2 linked regions of the Diceros bicornis minor genome follow. The protein of the gene in region 1 purifies or fractionates together with the protein of each later gene. This does not show direct contact. Links are inferred from orthologs where the notes say so. Each region holds a gene or a part of one and is shown on either strand. Other genes may lie near its edges.

Region 1 (7,769 bases):
TCATTTTCTCAGAATCTTGAAGGCCAGACTATATCTCAGTGAATTCATTGTGGATCCTAGTGATTGCCTCTTCCCTTCCACTGTAATAAACTATCCTAGCCCTTTAATAGTCGGTTCTAGAAACTTGCATGCCTTTGATAGCATGATTACTAGAATATATCTACTTCTCCTTTTTGAAAAGCAAAACAATATTATATCATCCACAATCCCCTTGGACTTCTGCTGTTCTCCATGGTTACAAACCTCATTTGTCAGTATCCTCGATGTAATTAATATGGACTATTTGGGGCACTGTAACAGGAAGCCCTGATCTCATCTGACAAAGTGACATTTAAGCTGAGATCTGAAGTATGAATAGCAAAGGCCATGAAAGCATTCCAGCAGAGATGGTTGCATGTGCAAAAGCTGTCAGGGGAGAAGGAGCTTTGGGAACTCAAAGGATGAAAGGTGGCCAGTGGGGTGGAGCTTGGTGAGTGAGGGGGAGAGTAGCCCCTCCCCCCGGGGTTATAGAGGAAGGCAGAGGTCAGAGAACTCAGAGACTTGCAGATGATGTTACGGCAAGATTTGGGACTTATTCTAAGAGCAAGGATAAGCTACTGAAAAGTCATAAGCAGGGGAGTGATTTGATCTCTCTTCCAAAGATTTCTGTGGTTACAGTGTGGAGAATGAATTGAAGAGGGCCAATAGTTAGGAAGATATGGGTAAAACTGGTCTTAAATAAACATTAAGACTAGCCTGGGAAGGGAGAAAGAAATTTCAAACAGGCAAAAAGTACCCTTAGAGGTATGTTTGAAAGCTCAGCAGAGACAGTTGAATTTCTTCAACTTGCTGATGGCAGTGATTTAAATGATGATATAACAGCTTCAATTTCTTTCTTTCTTTTTTTTAGTGTTAGATGGAAGAAGTGACTCCTTCTTCTCACCATTCCCTTCCTGCTGGATCCCTGAATTGCTGACCAACTGACCCAGAAGCAGTTTGCTCCCCTCCTTCCCAAGTGTGGACTGCATCCCATGCTCTAGTGGTTGTTGCGCGCATCTGCCATGGTGAGATTTCTGAGGGGTTGGGGTAGAATGTGGGAAAGAACAAGGGGGGCAGTAGAGAAGAAGGACTTCTGAGCAGCTTGCACAGAAATGAGGCAGCAGAATTGAAATGGTCAAGGAACACTTTTCCTTCCCTTTCTCCAGACAGAAAGCATCATATCTAGTCAAGATGGTAACAAGGACAGAAGACTGCTTCCTCTGAATTCCTGCCTGCAGGAGTCTGGGGCTTCTGCCGCAGTCAGCTGATACACCACAAGAGTTGGTGTTCTGTACCACGGGTTCTGACAGTTTAGGCAAGAGGAAGTTAGTTTTTGCAGTTCTGTTTATGGAATTGGCCGAATGAAAATGCTGGCCGATGGTCTGCTTTTCATAGTCATTGACAACAGCTTCCTACAACACCTGGGTTTTCTTTGGAAACTGTGAAGAGGCACTGAAAAGAGCAAAAATAATTTCTTCTTGTCTTAAAAAAAAATCCACAAAGGAAAGTAACTCTTAAAGGATATATGTGAGAGTAACTCTCATTTCAGGTTGAGTTTGAATATGGAAAAAAATTACCCTGCATAAATTTCATGTTTTGCTGAGCATACGTTGATTTGTTTGGAATTGCATTTTTACAGTCAAGCAAATTAGTCGGGACCCATGAGTATAGGTGTTGTGATGAAATAAATTAGGAGGACATAGAGATAACAGAATTGTAATAACAAATGAAAATATCACCAACAATACTGCTATATCTTGGAGGATCCTAAACGTCTTGCTTTTAAGTTGGACCACACTCACAGGATGGTGGGTGAGAGAATCCTGCAAAACAATTTCCAGTTCTCTCATTTTTTTTAAGTTGATCTATTTGAATCTATAAGCAAAGTACAATTTTTTCCATTTGTTTAACAAAATTGTATATGGAAAGATATTACTTATTGTGTACTAGTAAGCACTTACAGCTCCAAATGTCTAAATTTGTTTTCTATTACCTATTTAATTGATAAGAATGTATTTTATTGATAAGGATTCTAGACTTATGCCTAGAATGAATGACAATAATCTCTTCCACCCCCAAATTCCAGTATCTAGAATAGTGCCTGCCACATACTAGGTGTTCAACAAATAAAGAGGGAATTAAATTACATTAGTTGCTGTGTTTAATAAAAGTAAAGCCAGAAAATAAACTCTGAAAATAAATTTTTGAAATAGTAGAGAGCAAAACCTTAGATTCATTTTGCCAATAAAATAAAATATCCTAATATCTGATTAATATACATTTAACATAAATCTTAGAAATCATTAGCTGTAGCCTCAAGGGTGAGCAAACAGAAGGAACCATAATAGAGAAAGAATTGGAAACAAACGGTTTTACTTCTTGACAATTAGGACAGTTTGGGAACATACCTTAAATCTCCTGCATCTGCACTTCATTGGGGATAGGCTACTCGTTGGTCACAGAATCAAGTTCAAAATTCGTAGGGTGTTTCTGAAGATCCTTTTGGGGTTTAGCGTTCATTCGGGCCGCCCCTGACCACGTATCCTGAGCGTCTGCCAAGACGATGGGTGGATATGTTCCTTTTCTTAGCTTGTCCTGCACTTTCTCACCGACCCCTCCCTCCCCCCTGGACTTTACCCACTTGGGCTCCTGTCAGTTCCTCTAAAGCCTTCCCACATTTCAAGGCCCAGTTTAATCTCCAGCGCTTTCAGAAAAGCTTCCCCGAGCCCCTTTTCAGATGCAATATCGTTCTCCCCTATTTCCCTCAGTACTTTGAACCTCTATTCTAGCAGCCATTACTTTCTAACGTGTTGTTTTTGCACGTCGGTATCCCCTGACTAGATTGCGACCACTCTGTTGGGGAGGTCTTTTAAGACCTAACCGTGTCCAGCCCCTAGCACAGTGCCTGGCACAGAGAAGATGCCCAGTTAATGTTTGTTGAAACGAATCTAAACACCAGAGGGGAAAAGGAGAAGCGCCTGTGGCCGGCAGTAAGGGCCCCTTCACGACCCGAGGGGAGGCCCGTGGTGTCGCTGGACCCTGTCTCCAGCTCTAGACTGGCAGGAGAATGTGGTGCGGCAGAAGGCTCGTGTAAATGTCTCAGAACTCCGTTTACTTATTTCTTCTTTACTTTTATAAAGGATTCTTGGAAGTTCTCTCCAACAGCTTCGGGGCAAGCCATAAAGGGCGGCGCAAGCTGGGGGAAGTGGGGGTTGGGATGCTCAGTCTCGTGGCAATTCTAGACTCAGCCTACATATTTAATTTTTAAAGTTTCGCAAATTCCAGTTCTAAACTAGGAGCCAAGGGTGTAGAGAATTTCCTGGTGCACAATTTTCGCGTCCTAGGGAAGTCTGCCAGCATTCGGGGCTTTGCCTCATTTATCCTTCTCACATTTCCCACCGCGAGGAATCTACCGAGAGCTCCCAGCCTTCACATCCAGCCGGTGCTGAGAACCGCGATTCGGCCCAGCGGTCTCAGCCGGTTCCTCCTTCAACCCTCTGGGCAAACCTTGTACGGGCGAGTGGGGGAGCTCCCAGCCCGCAGTACGAGGCGGAATAGGAGCACGGTTGGACTACAACTCCCAGGCTGCTCTGGGAAAAGTGCGGGGGGGAGGAGGCGAGAGGGAGGGGTTTGGGGTGGGGGTTGGCAGGGAAATCCCGCCCCGCTGCGCAGCAGCAAAGACACAAAGCCCGACTTTACAACCTCATAGAGAAAGTGGAAGTAAGACGGCTAGGTGGGGAGGCAGGACGAGAGAAAGAACCAGAGGAGGGAAAGCCGCGTAGGTGGGAGCGGAGCGAAGCGAGGGTAGTGGGAAGACCCGCGGCTTTCCAGATGAGGAGGGGGCGGCTTTCATAACTAATTCCCCCGCCCGCGCTGGGGTCTGCAGAGTGCCCTGCCCGTCCCCACTCCTAGCTCAGAGCCCGGCTCCTCCCCGCCGGGAATCGTGGAGCCCGCCTGCCTTGCGGGCTCGGGGCGGGCCAGCGCGCTGCATCGTGGCTCCCCAGCCCGGGTGCGGGACGAAAGCGCGGGGTGGCGCGGCTGCCGCGGGCCGAGGAGGGGCTGCGGGCGAAGCGGCGCCGCGGACGAGTTAGGGCCGGGGCAGGGGAGGCTGTGGCTCCCGACCGAGCTAGGGGCGGAGTGGGGCTGAAGCGAGGTTCGGCGCGGGCTGCCCCGAGTGGGGCGGAAGCACGCGGGCTGGCCGCCGAGGCCAGCGGGGAAGGCGGGCGGTGGCCCTGCGCCGGGGAAGAGTGCAGGCAACGGGGTGCCGAGGCCGGCGCTGGCGGAGAGATTGGGGCGCCCTCCTCCCCGCAGGAGGAGCCTAGCGCTCCTCCGCCATCCCTCCCCCGCGCGCCGAGCTCGCCTTCTCCGCGGGCTGCAGCGGGAGCCGCGGGGCGGCGGTGCTGTGGCCAGATAAGGGAGAGCGGCGGGGCCGCCGGCCCCGGGACGGGCGGGCCGGGGGCGGGGGCGGGCAGTGAGTGAGGCGGGGCGGCGGCCGGCGGGAGGGCGCGGGGCGGGGGGAGCGCGGAGAGCCAAGGAGGGCAGGCGGCGGGCGGGTGGCCGGGCAGCCTGGCTCGCCGTCCGCTCCGCGCCGCCGGCCCCCGCCGCAGTGTGTTTTGTGGACGGCACCTTCCCAGACAGCCAAGTAGAGCCCAGCTCGGCGCCCGGCCGCCTTCGACGTGATGTTCCGCCGGACCTTTAATCGTTTGGTAAGTACACTCGCTGCGGCTCCACGCGTGCCGCTTTGCTTGCTCGCCAGCTCCATCGCCGGGTCCCTCAGAACAGTTTTCTTAGAGCATAATTGCATCTCTGGGAGACACCACCACCCCATTTCCAATTTGAGCTGAAACACGTTGCTCAGGCGGCCGCGGTGGGGAGGCAGGTAGGGCTCTCAGAATACCCCCCCCCCGCCCCGACAATTTAACCAGAGCTTCCCGGGGCTGTTACAAACTCTGCCTCAGACGGGGGCCACCGTCGTGCTGGATGGGGGGCCACTCGTGAGGGGACCGACCCCGGGGTCCTTCGGTTTGCCAATTAGTCGAAGATGGCGTTTTATTATCTGGGAGGTTGCTTTCTTTTGTTTCCTCTGCCACGAGCACATGGAGGTAAACCTAGACCTGTCACTGTGGCCCAAAAAAGACCTGGGGCTGAGAGGGCCGGAGACTGAGGCTGGACTCAGCCCTGCCCGGGGCTCGGCCGGGCGGGCAGCCGCTGATGGGAGGCCGGGCAAACTTTGGAGATCCAGTCCAAGCAGCTCACCTTTAGGGCCCAATAAAAGAGAGGGCGATTGTCAGGGTGGGCTGGGTGATTGTGGAGACGCGAGGAGGCTGCACCGTCGCTGCCGAGCCTCGGGTCTGAAGCCTCTCGGAGCCCTGAACGCCCCAGACGTTGAACCCGTGGGAGAGGCAGGCTGCGGCTGGACCCCTCCGTCCACCTTTATCCCCTTCCAAATCCCCAGAAAAAGGAATTTCATTTCCATGAGAGTTTGGCATAAGGGAAAGTGATTTCTGGCTAATGACTTTTTTTAGTAACCTGTTAACTCCTAGAGGGTACATTCAGAATGGAACAAAACAGGGACCATTTACTTCTATGCTGCTATTTGTAGCAACTTCCTTAATTCCAAGATGAGGTGGCGGGAATAGGATTTTATTTCTGCCAATGATGTGAAAGAAAGGGTTCATTTGTAAATTTTGATTTTTCTGTCTTTAGGAAAAATGGTTGAGTGCTGTGTGCTTCCCCCACCCCTCTTACAATCTATGTTTGAGAACTTGTCGATTTTGTTATTTTCATGTGATTATTCCTAATCAAAGCATTGCTAACATGTTTTATGTGCCGGATGAATTTTCTTTCGTCTTCTTTGCATTTGAAACTTTCACAAATGTACCCTGGCTAAAAGAAATAATTGTATATCTCTTTTTAGGATATTATTATCACAATAGTGCTATGTTAATATTTTTCTGAGTATTTACCTCACCTGGAGGAGAAATTGGAGCAGATTACCTGTGGCACAGAGTAATAGAGGTCGTAGGTATCAAGGATCTTGAAATCCGTAGGAATTGGCTTGTACTGAATGCTTTGCTAAAGCAGGTGACTAAAATTGGTTTCTCACATTTAGCCTGAGAAGGTAAAAGAGCATTGTACTTCATAGTTTTATTTCACATAGATTCTTGTGATCTTAGAGTGTTGTTTCGGGGTTACAAAAAGGGAAAGGTGACAAAGAGAGCTAATTGTAATATTTGAGAAAAGGATAATCTCTTCATATGGCTCTCTTACAGTGGAAAACAACTGGACTCTGGTTTGTAATAAATTCATTAGCTTAAAATTGAGATATTAACATTCCCCCAAGCCCCTTTTTTAAGGTTTTGAACATTTGAAACCAGACAACCCAAGTATTGGTCTCAATGCCCCCTATGCTTTTCTTTTGCTAAGAGTGATCTGCATTGTATCCGAGTCTAGTAATTAAGCAGTACTGGCCCAGGAAGCTAGGGCATGCAGTAGAATTCACAGCAGTTGTTGAGGTGCCAGCCTGCAGGTTTGAGGCTAGTACTTTGCATCCTTGACCAAGATCTCTGCAGAGAATCACGCTCACTCTGAAGTGAGCTTTGACCTCGTTGTTTCTGCTGGAATACCCGACTGCTCACATTTTCCTGCGCAACCATGACTATGGTAAGTCTCAGGAATTTATACCAGTGCAGCAAGCTGGAAGGTTCTCAGGAGTTGTATCTGAGTCCTAGGCCTAGGGCAAGGAATTAATCTGCAAATCATTGCACTGACTGTGAAACAGGCTATCAAATACTCATTGCTAAAGAATGACTTCAAAATTTGAGGGGACAAAATTTTATCTCCCCTAGATCAGTAAGCCATATGCTGTCCTGTCTTTTGCCTGGTAGAGATTATTTGAGGAGCCGTCTCATTTAAATCACTAGAAGCCTGCAATTAAAGATTTAGGTTGGACTTTGAGACTTGCACAGCAATGTAGATGTAGTCCAAGTTGTGTGCTCTCTTTGATTGCTTTTATATTTCAGAGATGGGGCTTTGAATTCCTTTCAAAATTGTGTGTTTTTTTGTGTAGCTATATATGTTTGAAATTGATTTTGAATGTGAAATAAATTACAGTGGTGTTGATTGTAGTTGTTGGTCACTGAAAAATAGACACTACATGTTAGGACAGGGCTTTACATTTTAAACCTGACACGGGAAGTTAATATCTCTTGGGAGTAGCGTCGTCTTCCATGGCTCAGTAGTGTTTGCTGAACTGCTTAAAAAACCCCATTTATTTCCCCAGGTTCTCCAGTTTCAAGCTAAAAGAAATAGTGATTCATTGTATTTTTTAAAGACATGGATTTGACGTCTTTGCCATTAATAATTGTCTTCTTTTCTTTCTGGGTGAATTTTGACTTTCCTTTTGACAGTTTTGAGGTTGAAAGAAACTGGTGGATTTGGTGTAGAGTCTTAGGATTTAGGCATGTAGAGGGTGTCTTAAAAGATTTGAGTTGGATGTCTCTGAGTATAACAAAAGCACAGCCTGTTCCCAGTCGACATCTCCCTTCTCCGTAAATACAATAAATAAATAATAGTAGCTTTGTCTATACAATTGATTTCCCTTAAAGGCATGTTTAATTGGAAGGCTGGACTAGTTGAGACTTAAGAGTCAGGGACTTTTATGTTATCCTGTCTTTTACTCTTCATAAAATCCCTAGTGGTTACAGTAGCAGTTTTCAAGTGGTTTTAAAGGTTTAATGAGAGTCTAAACA
Region 2 (7,526 bases), on another chromosome or scaffold:
CATTTCTCATGTGCATTTCTAACTAAATGGACAGACTTAACCAAAAGTAATCTAGAATATCAATGGCCATTATGGGGAACTTCTGAACTCCTTAAAGTTACTTTTCTTAAAACCAAATTGGACAATCATAGCTCTGTAATTTCCAAAACTAAATGGAACACCTATTTCAATTGGTATTTTGAGGCTTCCAAATGTTATAGGAGTCTAAAATTGCTCTTTTGTAAAATAAAATTTTAAGATTAACTGAGGCAAAGAATTAAAGAAAGATAAAATGGCTTCTGAAGCCTCATGTTCCTTTCTCCTGGCTCCTCATGCTCAGGCTCCACCTCTGGTGCCATCTTCCTCCCTCCCTTCTGTAGGGTCTAAACCTCATCTCTACTCTGTCCCCCCTACTAACACTCTTGCTGAACTTCCCCCTTTTCCCTGAACCTCTCCCCACTCCTCTTCCTCTGAACCTATCAGAACATGTCCTTTTAAAATTAAGCCTTCTGAGGATCCAAAGGCTAAACCCTTAACTTCTTATATTCTCTGGACTAAAGCTGAACTTTGAGCCATAGTCAAAGATTTCCCCAAAGTAACTGAAGATCCTCACAGAGTTGATGAGGAATTTAATATAGTCATTCAGACACTGGGTATTATCAGGCCCTGTGGCATGGGGATACCCCCTTGCCTTAGGGCAATTATTGCCACTGTCCTCTGGGTTAAGGCCACTGAGAAAATGGTTGTGGGATCCCCTTTAACCATTTTTCTTCCTCAGGCAGTAAAAGCCCTCCTGAATTTTCATCACAGTCAACATATTTCAGCCAGCCGCCTCACCTATGAAATCCCTTTGTTAGCTGCTCCCCACATAACTCTTTTATGTTGTTAAAGCCTTAACCCTGCTACTCTTCTCCCCTCCATTACTGACGAAGTCGCTGTTGACTGCTTAACACTGACAGATCACATCCTGACTCCTTGTGATGATCTGCAGCAAACTCCTTTGGAAGTTTTCCTGCAAACTTCCTTTGCAGGAAACTCCACCGACTTCTCATGGTTTACTGATGGTTCTTATTTAAAAGTTGACAATGGCAAATATTGTGCTGGATAGCAACTCCTTTTGATATTGCTAAGGCAGTACCTTTACCTATGGCTATTTTGGCCCAACAGCCTGAATTATACACTGTTACATGGGCCTGTACTTTAGCCAATGGCAAAAGTGCCAATATTTATACTGGTGGTAGATCTGCTTTCAGAGTAGCTTATGATTTTGGAATGTTGTGGAAGCAATCAGAAATTATTGGATGCTATACTTTTACCTGCTGCTTTAGCTATTATTAAGATCCTGGGGCATTCTCAACTTGACTCTCTGGAAGCTAAAGGAAATCACCTTGCTGATATTTCTGTAAGAATGCAGCCCTTAAAGGAACCAACAACAGCCAAGCCTCTGTCATGGTCCAAAGGGATATTTCCCCTAATGATAACTTAGAAACCTGACTAGAGAAGCCCAACAACTGGCCTCAGAAAAGGAAAAACAAGATCAGAAATTCAACAATTGTTGGCTTGATAAAAAGAGAAAGCTCTGGTTCAGATCACATAACAATCCAGCCCTGTTGGAGACTAAAATTCCCACTCCTAACCACTGTCACTGTACATGCATCAAGCCATTGGTCTACTGACAAAATGATAGCATTCATGAATCAGTATTGGTGGGGAAATATTAACAAGGTTGCAAAAAATGCCTACCTCACTTCTCCCACTTGTCCAAAATACAACCCATGGAAGCCTGTTCATACTGTTCCTGGACATTGAAATTGCCTAATGGACCATTCAAGTTTTGGCAAATGGATTTCATACAGCTTCTCCCATCTCATGGATATAAATATGTTTTAGTTGTGGTTTGTATGTCTTCTCACTGTCCTTGCAGACAGGCTACTGTCTCTTCTGTGGCTAACGTCCTTTTGGAAAGGATTATCCCTACCTGAGGGACTCCGCTCAAGCTTCATAGTGACTGAGCAACCCATTTTACTGGTCAGGTACTTCGACAAGTCTACGCTGTTTGGCCAGTTTTACAACACTCACGTTGTGCCTACCACCCTCAATCCTCTGGTTTAGCTGACCACACTAATGGCATTATTAAGACTTAATTGGCAAAACTTGTAGAGACCTTCAAATGCCTGGGCCAAAAGCACTGCCATTGGTCCTTCTAAATCTCAGATCCACCCCCTTTAGAACTCACAAACTCTCACCCTTTGAGATAGTCATGGGACGCCAAGTGCACTTGGCTTCTGCGTCTTTTGACCCACAGCTGATAAAAGGACATACACTCCAATATTGCAAAGGCCTAATTGTTTTTATTAAAATTAACCATGTTTTGGTAATCTTTTCACAGTTTGCTTCAGGGAGACAAAGCCCTTAAGCATCATACCTTGCAACCTGGAGATTGTGTCTATTGGAAAAGACACCTCCAGAAGGACTCTCTTCAACCTCATTGGAAAGGCCCCTATCAGGTACTGTTAACCAACCCTTGTGCCACAAAACTCCAGGGAATAGACTCTTGGATTCACGTGACACATCTAAAGAAAGCACCAAACCCTGACTGGTCCTACACATCATCTGGTGACCTGAAAGTAGAGTTCCTGGTATTGAGGCAGATGATATGTGATAAAGCAGCTTTCCCAAGATGTCCAGACCAGGCCTATTGGAAGTGTGTCTGCCAAACCTTTGATGATGACATAATGCTGCAGATGATCTCCAGTGCTTATGATCATGAAAACATATGGACTTTAGAAAAGAAAAATGCCTAGGAGTTTTCCTATCCTTGTTACTCAATTGTGGCCTCAATAGATTTCCAACCTGTGCACTTTCCCTCCGACAGGACACAGAGGAAAAGCCCTTCCTGGCATGGAATGACCAAAAGCTGCTGAATCTAGAAAAACCTGACTCTTGATCAACGAAGCTTTTAGAGAAAGACCGTGATCAAAAGCAGAAAATGACAGGGCCAGCCTGGTGGCACAGCAGTCAAATCCTTGCCTTCTGCTTTGGCAGCCCAGAGTTTGTAGGTTCAGATCCTGGGCATGGACCTACTCACTGCTCATCAGGCCATGCTGAGGTGGCATCCCACATAGAGCAACTAGAAGGATGCACAACTATGATGTGCGGCTATCTGCTGGGGCTTTGGGGAGAAAAAACAAAAAGAGGAAGATTGGCAACAGATGTTAGCTCAGGGCCAATCTTCCTGAACAAACAAAAAAAGAAGCATCTTCTCCCAACTTAAAAAAAAATGGGGGGAAGCCAATGTCAAATTAACAAAAAACCTCATTAAATTGGAATTGGGAGGCCAAATGGGGAGCTCTCACACCTTATGTCAAGTGCAGAGTCCAACAGGAAGAAGGAAGACTTCCTCTTCTTGATCGGCGTAAAGCTCAGCCAATCAGAGACTGCCCCAACCCAGTCACGTGAAAAGCCACTACACCTGAAACCCTCAGTTCCTCCAGTGGACTGTTCATAGTAGTCCTCCCAACGTCCTCTTCTTCTCTCTAAAAGAGGTCTCCTGCCTTGCTGCTGGGGGACTCACCCGCAGCTTACCATGGTTGCAGAGAGCGCACTTGCAATTCTTTGCTGATCTTGAACAAACTCATTTTTGCTGGAGTAATAACTGGCTATTTGTTTCAGGTCAACAGAAGCAAGATAATAGGATTAGCCAAGTCACATGATCTATTCTTTACTTTAGGACAAAAGGGTCATCCATCACACAACTCACTTAAGGTTTATATCTGCACTGTGAGTGGAAGTTTACTTATTTTAATCAGAGAAAAGTCGCGGTTTTTACAACCCCGGCAAACAGTGCCAATCCCACCAGGCTCAAGCTCCCCGGTGTGGTCTTTTAAACACGCCAGTCCCTTCGAAGAAGTCTTCCAGGTAACACAAAAACCTGTCTGGCGCCGAAGCCTCTCAGTCAGCGGCTCTAGGGACACGGCGACAACGGCGGCCAGGGGCGTGCGTTCAGACGTGCGAGCTAGAAGGTCCACTGCCATGACAACCAGAGCAGGGCGCAGGTGGGCGCCCACGGAAGCCCGGCGAGCGGGGCGGCGCATGCGCTAACGTACCTCACGCTCGGGGGCTGAGGCCTTCACTTTGTCGTCACAGGGCAGATGGTCAGGCTGCGTCCGCCTCTTCCCTCTCCCTCCACCGTCGGCCTTTTCCCTTCCCCTCCATTCTCCCTCTTCCCCTCCCCTAGTCCCTCCGTCTCCTCCCTCCCGCAGGCCCCCGCCCACCCCCACTTCCGGTCCGCGGCCGTCGGCGGAAGGGTGCCCCGCCTCTTCCGCCTTGGCGGCGGCGGTGGCGCCTGCGCGTCCCCTGTCAGGGTCAGCTGGCGGGTTCCCTGGGCCGTCCACCTGCGTGTCGCGGAGCCGTGCCCGGGGGTCGATGGCGATGAACTATAACGCCAAGGATGAAGTGGACGGTGGGCCCCCGTGCGCCCCTGGGGGCGCCGCCAAGACCCGGAGACCGGACAACACGGCCTTCAAACAGCAGCGGCTGCCGGCCTGGCAGCCCATCCTCACGGCCGGCACGGTGCTGCCCACCTTCTTCATCATCGGCCTCATCTTCATCCCCATCGGCATCGGCATCTTCGTCACCTCCAACAACATCCGCGAGATCGAGGTGAGCGGAGGGCCGGCGGGGCGCCTGCCTCGCCCCGGGTGGGCGCGGGCCCCTCCCCGCGTCTTGGCTCCCCTCCGCCGTTGCTGCGTCCTCTGCCTGCGCGTTTCCTGAGCTTGGGGTCTGTCCACGCGTCCTCGTGCTCGCCGTTCACACGGTTGGAGGCGGAATGAACGTAAACGCGGAGGGCGGGGCGCGGAGAAGGCCCCTTGAGTGGGCGCTCTGTGTGGTTCGGTGGGGGATTTTCGCCTCCAACGGAGGTTAAACAAAAGAGAAGTGGGAAAGTGGAAGTTCTATCTAGATGTAGCTCCAGGACAGTTGACGTGGTTAGAGTGCCATTACCTGGGTGGGGATTATCGCAGGACGCAGAGATGAACACCTTGGCCATTGTTGGGAAAAGGACCCGGAGTCATAGAGGTATTGATGATTTTTTGTGAAGTTGTCGTATCTTACCAGGTGACATCTTAGGACATGTGACCGAAATGTGCACAGTACCTTTCATTTTGAGGTAATAGGTGATTTTAGTTGTAGGGCATGATAGAGGTAAAGGTAACCGGAAACTTCAATTCCGATTTTGGTTTTAGGCTGTGTTTATTAATAACCATGCCCTACATTCACCCTAGTCTTTTTTTTCCCCTAGATTTTAAACTTTAAAGAAAAGAGTCAGTGACCACACACAGGATAAGTCGCATTGTCTACTGAGCATTTTACTGATCAAAGACATCACAGAAACGGGGAAGCATCTTGATTTCTGTCAGAGCAGCAATCATGGTATCGTGATCCATCTGCAGTGGTGAAGATAGGTTGATCCTAGAATGTAAATACTTTGTATGGATGTCCAGCATTAAACGTCTGCTCATCCTCGTTTCTTGAATATCTGAGGGTATTTTTGTCTGTTTGAAAGAGCAGGAACTGGCACTAAGTTCTCTTGATTTCTTCTGTTCTGTAGCAGGTTATGTCATTTTTTCCCTCTAATTTTATTAAACACTTTTAAATTTATGCATGTGCTTTGATAGGGCTTTCAGCGTAGTTTCATTTCAGCTATAGGAATAGGCATAAAGATAACTGTTTTTCAGTTTAATTTACAGTTACCTCTGAAAGCAAAATCAATATATTTTTTAATTGTACAGTGCTCATTTCGTTATTAATAACAGTAATAAGAATAGTATCTATAGTTTTTAAACCTTTTACTAAAAATTTATTTTCAGTTTAATAACTAGAGAAAGTGTCACAGTATGTTTTTTCAGCATGTATTTTTATCATTTTTTTCTCCCTAATGGTACTTAATATGTAGTACTTCTTGTTCTCCCAGCCACACTAGGATCACACATATCAGGATATGAGCAAAGTGGGGTAATGCAAGGACCGTGGGCTGTAGGCTGGAGTCAGGCAGAGGTGGCTTTCAATTCCAGCTCAGCCACTAGCTAGCTCAGTTTCTTGGAAAACTTAGTCTCTCTGAGCCTGTTTCCACACCTGTAAAATAGATAAATAATGCCTATCTTGTAAGATGTGAGAATTAGAAACAATATAGTAGATTAGATTCCTGGCACTAAGTTTGTACAATGAATAGTTACTGTTATGATGACTAGTAATCAGGAGTAGGGAAATGGGGTCAGAGGGATTGATAGTTGCTAGTAAGTTAGAAGAGTATTTTAAAATTGAGACGGAAACCCAAAGGTAGATGTCTTGATTCCCAGCCTTAACCTTTGACATTACACTAGGGGCCTTACTGCGATGTTAGTGAAGTAGAAGAAAATAATTTAACTTAGAAATTTGATCATCTTATTTAAACTTCTTAAGATATTAGGATGAACATAGCAGTAATTTGGAATTTTATGTGGTGGGTATTTAGATGAACATAGCAGTAATGTGGAATTTTATATGATGGGTATTTACTAAATTATCAGAATCAATGTCTGTTAATATTTACTATACTGTGAAAATAAATTCTTTAAAATTTTGAGGTTCTGAAATAAAATAAGGTTTTCACACTAAGTGGTTGGTGAAGTTGAAATTTCTTAAATAATTCTCATGTGTGTAATTCTGGTTTCAAGTTGCCTGAAGAGTCTGCTGCAGTTTGGTTTGGTTAAAAGGGCACTGAAGTTGGGGCCGGCCCGGTGGCGCAAGCGGTTGAGTGCGCGCGCTCCGCTGCGGCGGCCCGGGGTTCGCTGGTTCGGATCCCGGGCGTGCACCGACGCACTGCTTGGCAAGCCGTGCTGTGGCGGCGTCCCATATAAAGTGGAGGAAGATGGGCACAGATGTTAGCCCAGGGCCGTCTTCCTCAGCAAAAAAAAAAAAAAAAAAAAGAGGAGGATTGGCGGATGTTAGCACTAGGGCTGATCTCCTCACAAAAAAAAAAAAAAAAAAGGGCACTGAAGTTAAAAGAGTCCAGGCATTGGAGTTGAAGTCCCAGCTCTGTTACTCTCTAGTTTGTGGCATATTTTTAATTCTCAGTTTTTTTACTTGAAGAACCAAGATTCAGACTTGATGATCTCTAAGATGCTGTTCAACTGTAAAATTCTTTGACTTCCAACTTTAATGTGATTAAAAAAAAATGCTGCGTATTCAAATTGTATCACCTTTGGAACCAGAGGAAATGAAAATTAGGAATGATTGGAAATTTTGTACCAGCACTGACATATAGTTGTGCAAATAGAATCAAAAAATGTTTTTTTTATTTGCTTGTTAAATATGTAGGAAATTGGTTCTGGAGTTATTAGAAGAACCTAGGGAGCTTTCCCAAAACACACGTTTCCACTTGCTTTCCACCCTTTTTTGGCCGCTAGTTTAGTTTAAAGTGTGTTGAGGGTAATAACCCTCAAAAGTAAACGAGTAAGGAGAAGTTGTTGCCAGCATTCGCTTTCATACTATAAGTTGCTCACACCTCT

Evidence for each region.
Region 2: the proteins of ATP11C (region 1) and TMEM30A purify together in Homo sapiens (co-immunoprecipitation; 4 studies listed by BioGRID and IntAct, with this or other methods). This does not show direct contact. The link is inferred for Diceros bicornis minor from reciprocal best matches to the Homo sapiens genes ATP11C and TMEM30A.

What each region holds. Positions count from the first base shown.
Region 1 is NC_080781.1:126,899,437-126,907,205, reverse strand, and holds the start of ATP11C (phospholipid-transporting ATPase IG), read left to right. Parts: upstream 1-4,574; 5' UTR 4,575-4,697; coding exon 4,698-4,724; intron 4,725-7,769. UniProt on the Homo sapiens protein: Catalytic component of a P4-ATPase flippase complex which catalyzes the hydrolysis of ATP coupled to the transport of aminophospholipids, phosphatidylserines (PS) and phosphatidylethanolamines (PE), from the outer to the inner leaflet of the plasma membrane.
Region 2 is NC_080762.1:55,435,390-55,442,915, forward strand, and holds the start of TMEM30A (cell cycle control protein 50A), read left to right. Parts: upstream 1-4,329; 5' UTR 4,330-4,404; coding exon 4,405-4,641; intron 4,642-7,526. UniProt on the Homo sapiens protein: Accessory component of a P4-ATPase flippase complex which catalyzes the hydrolysis of ATP coupled to the transport of aminophospholipids from the outer to the inner leaflet of various membranes and ensures the maintenance of asymmetric distribution of phospholipids.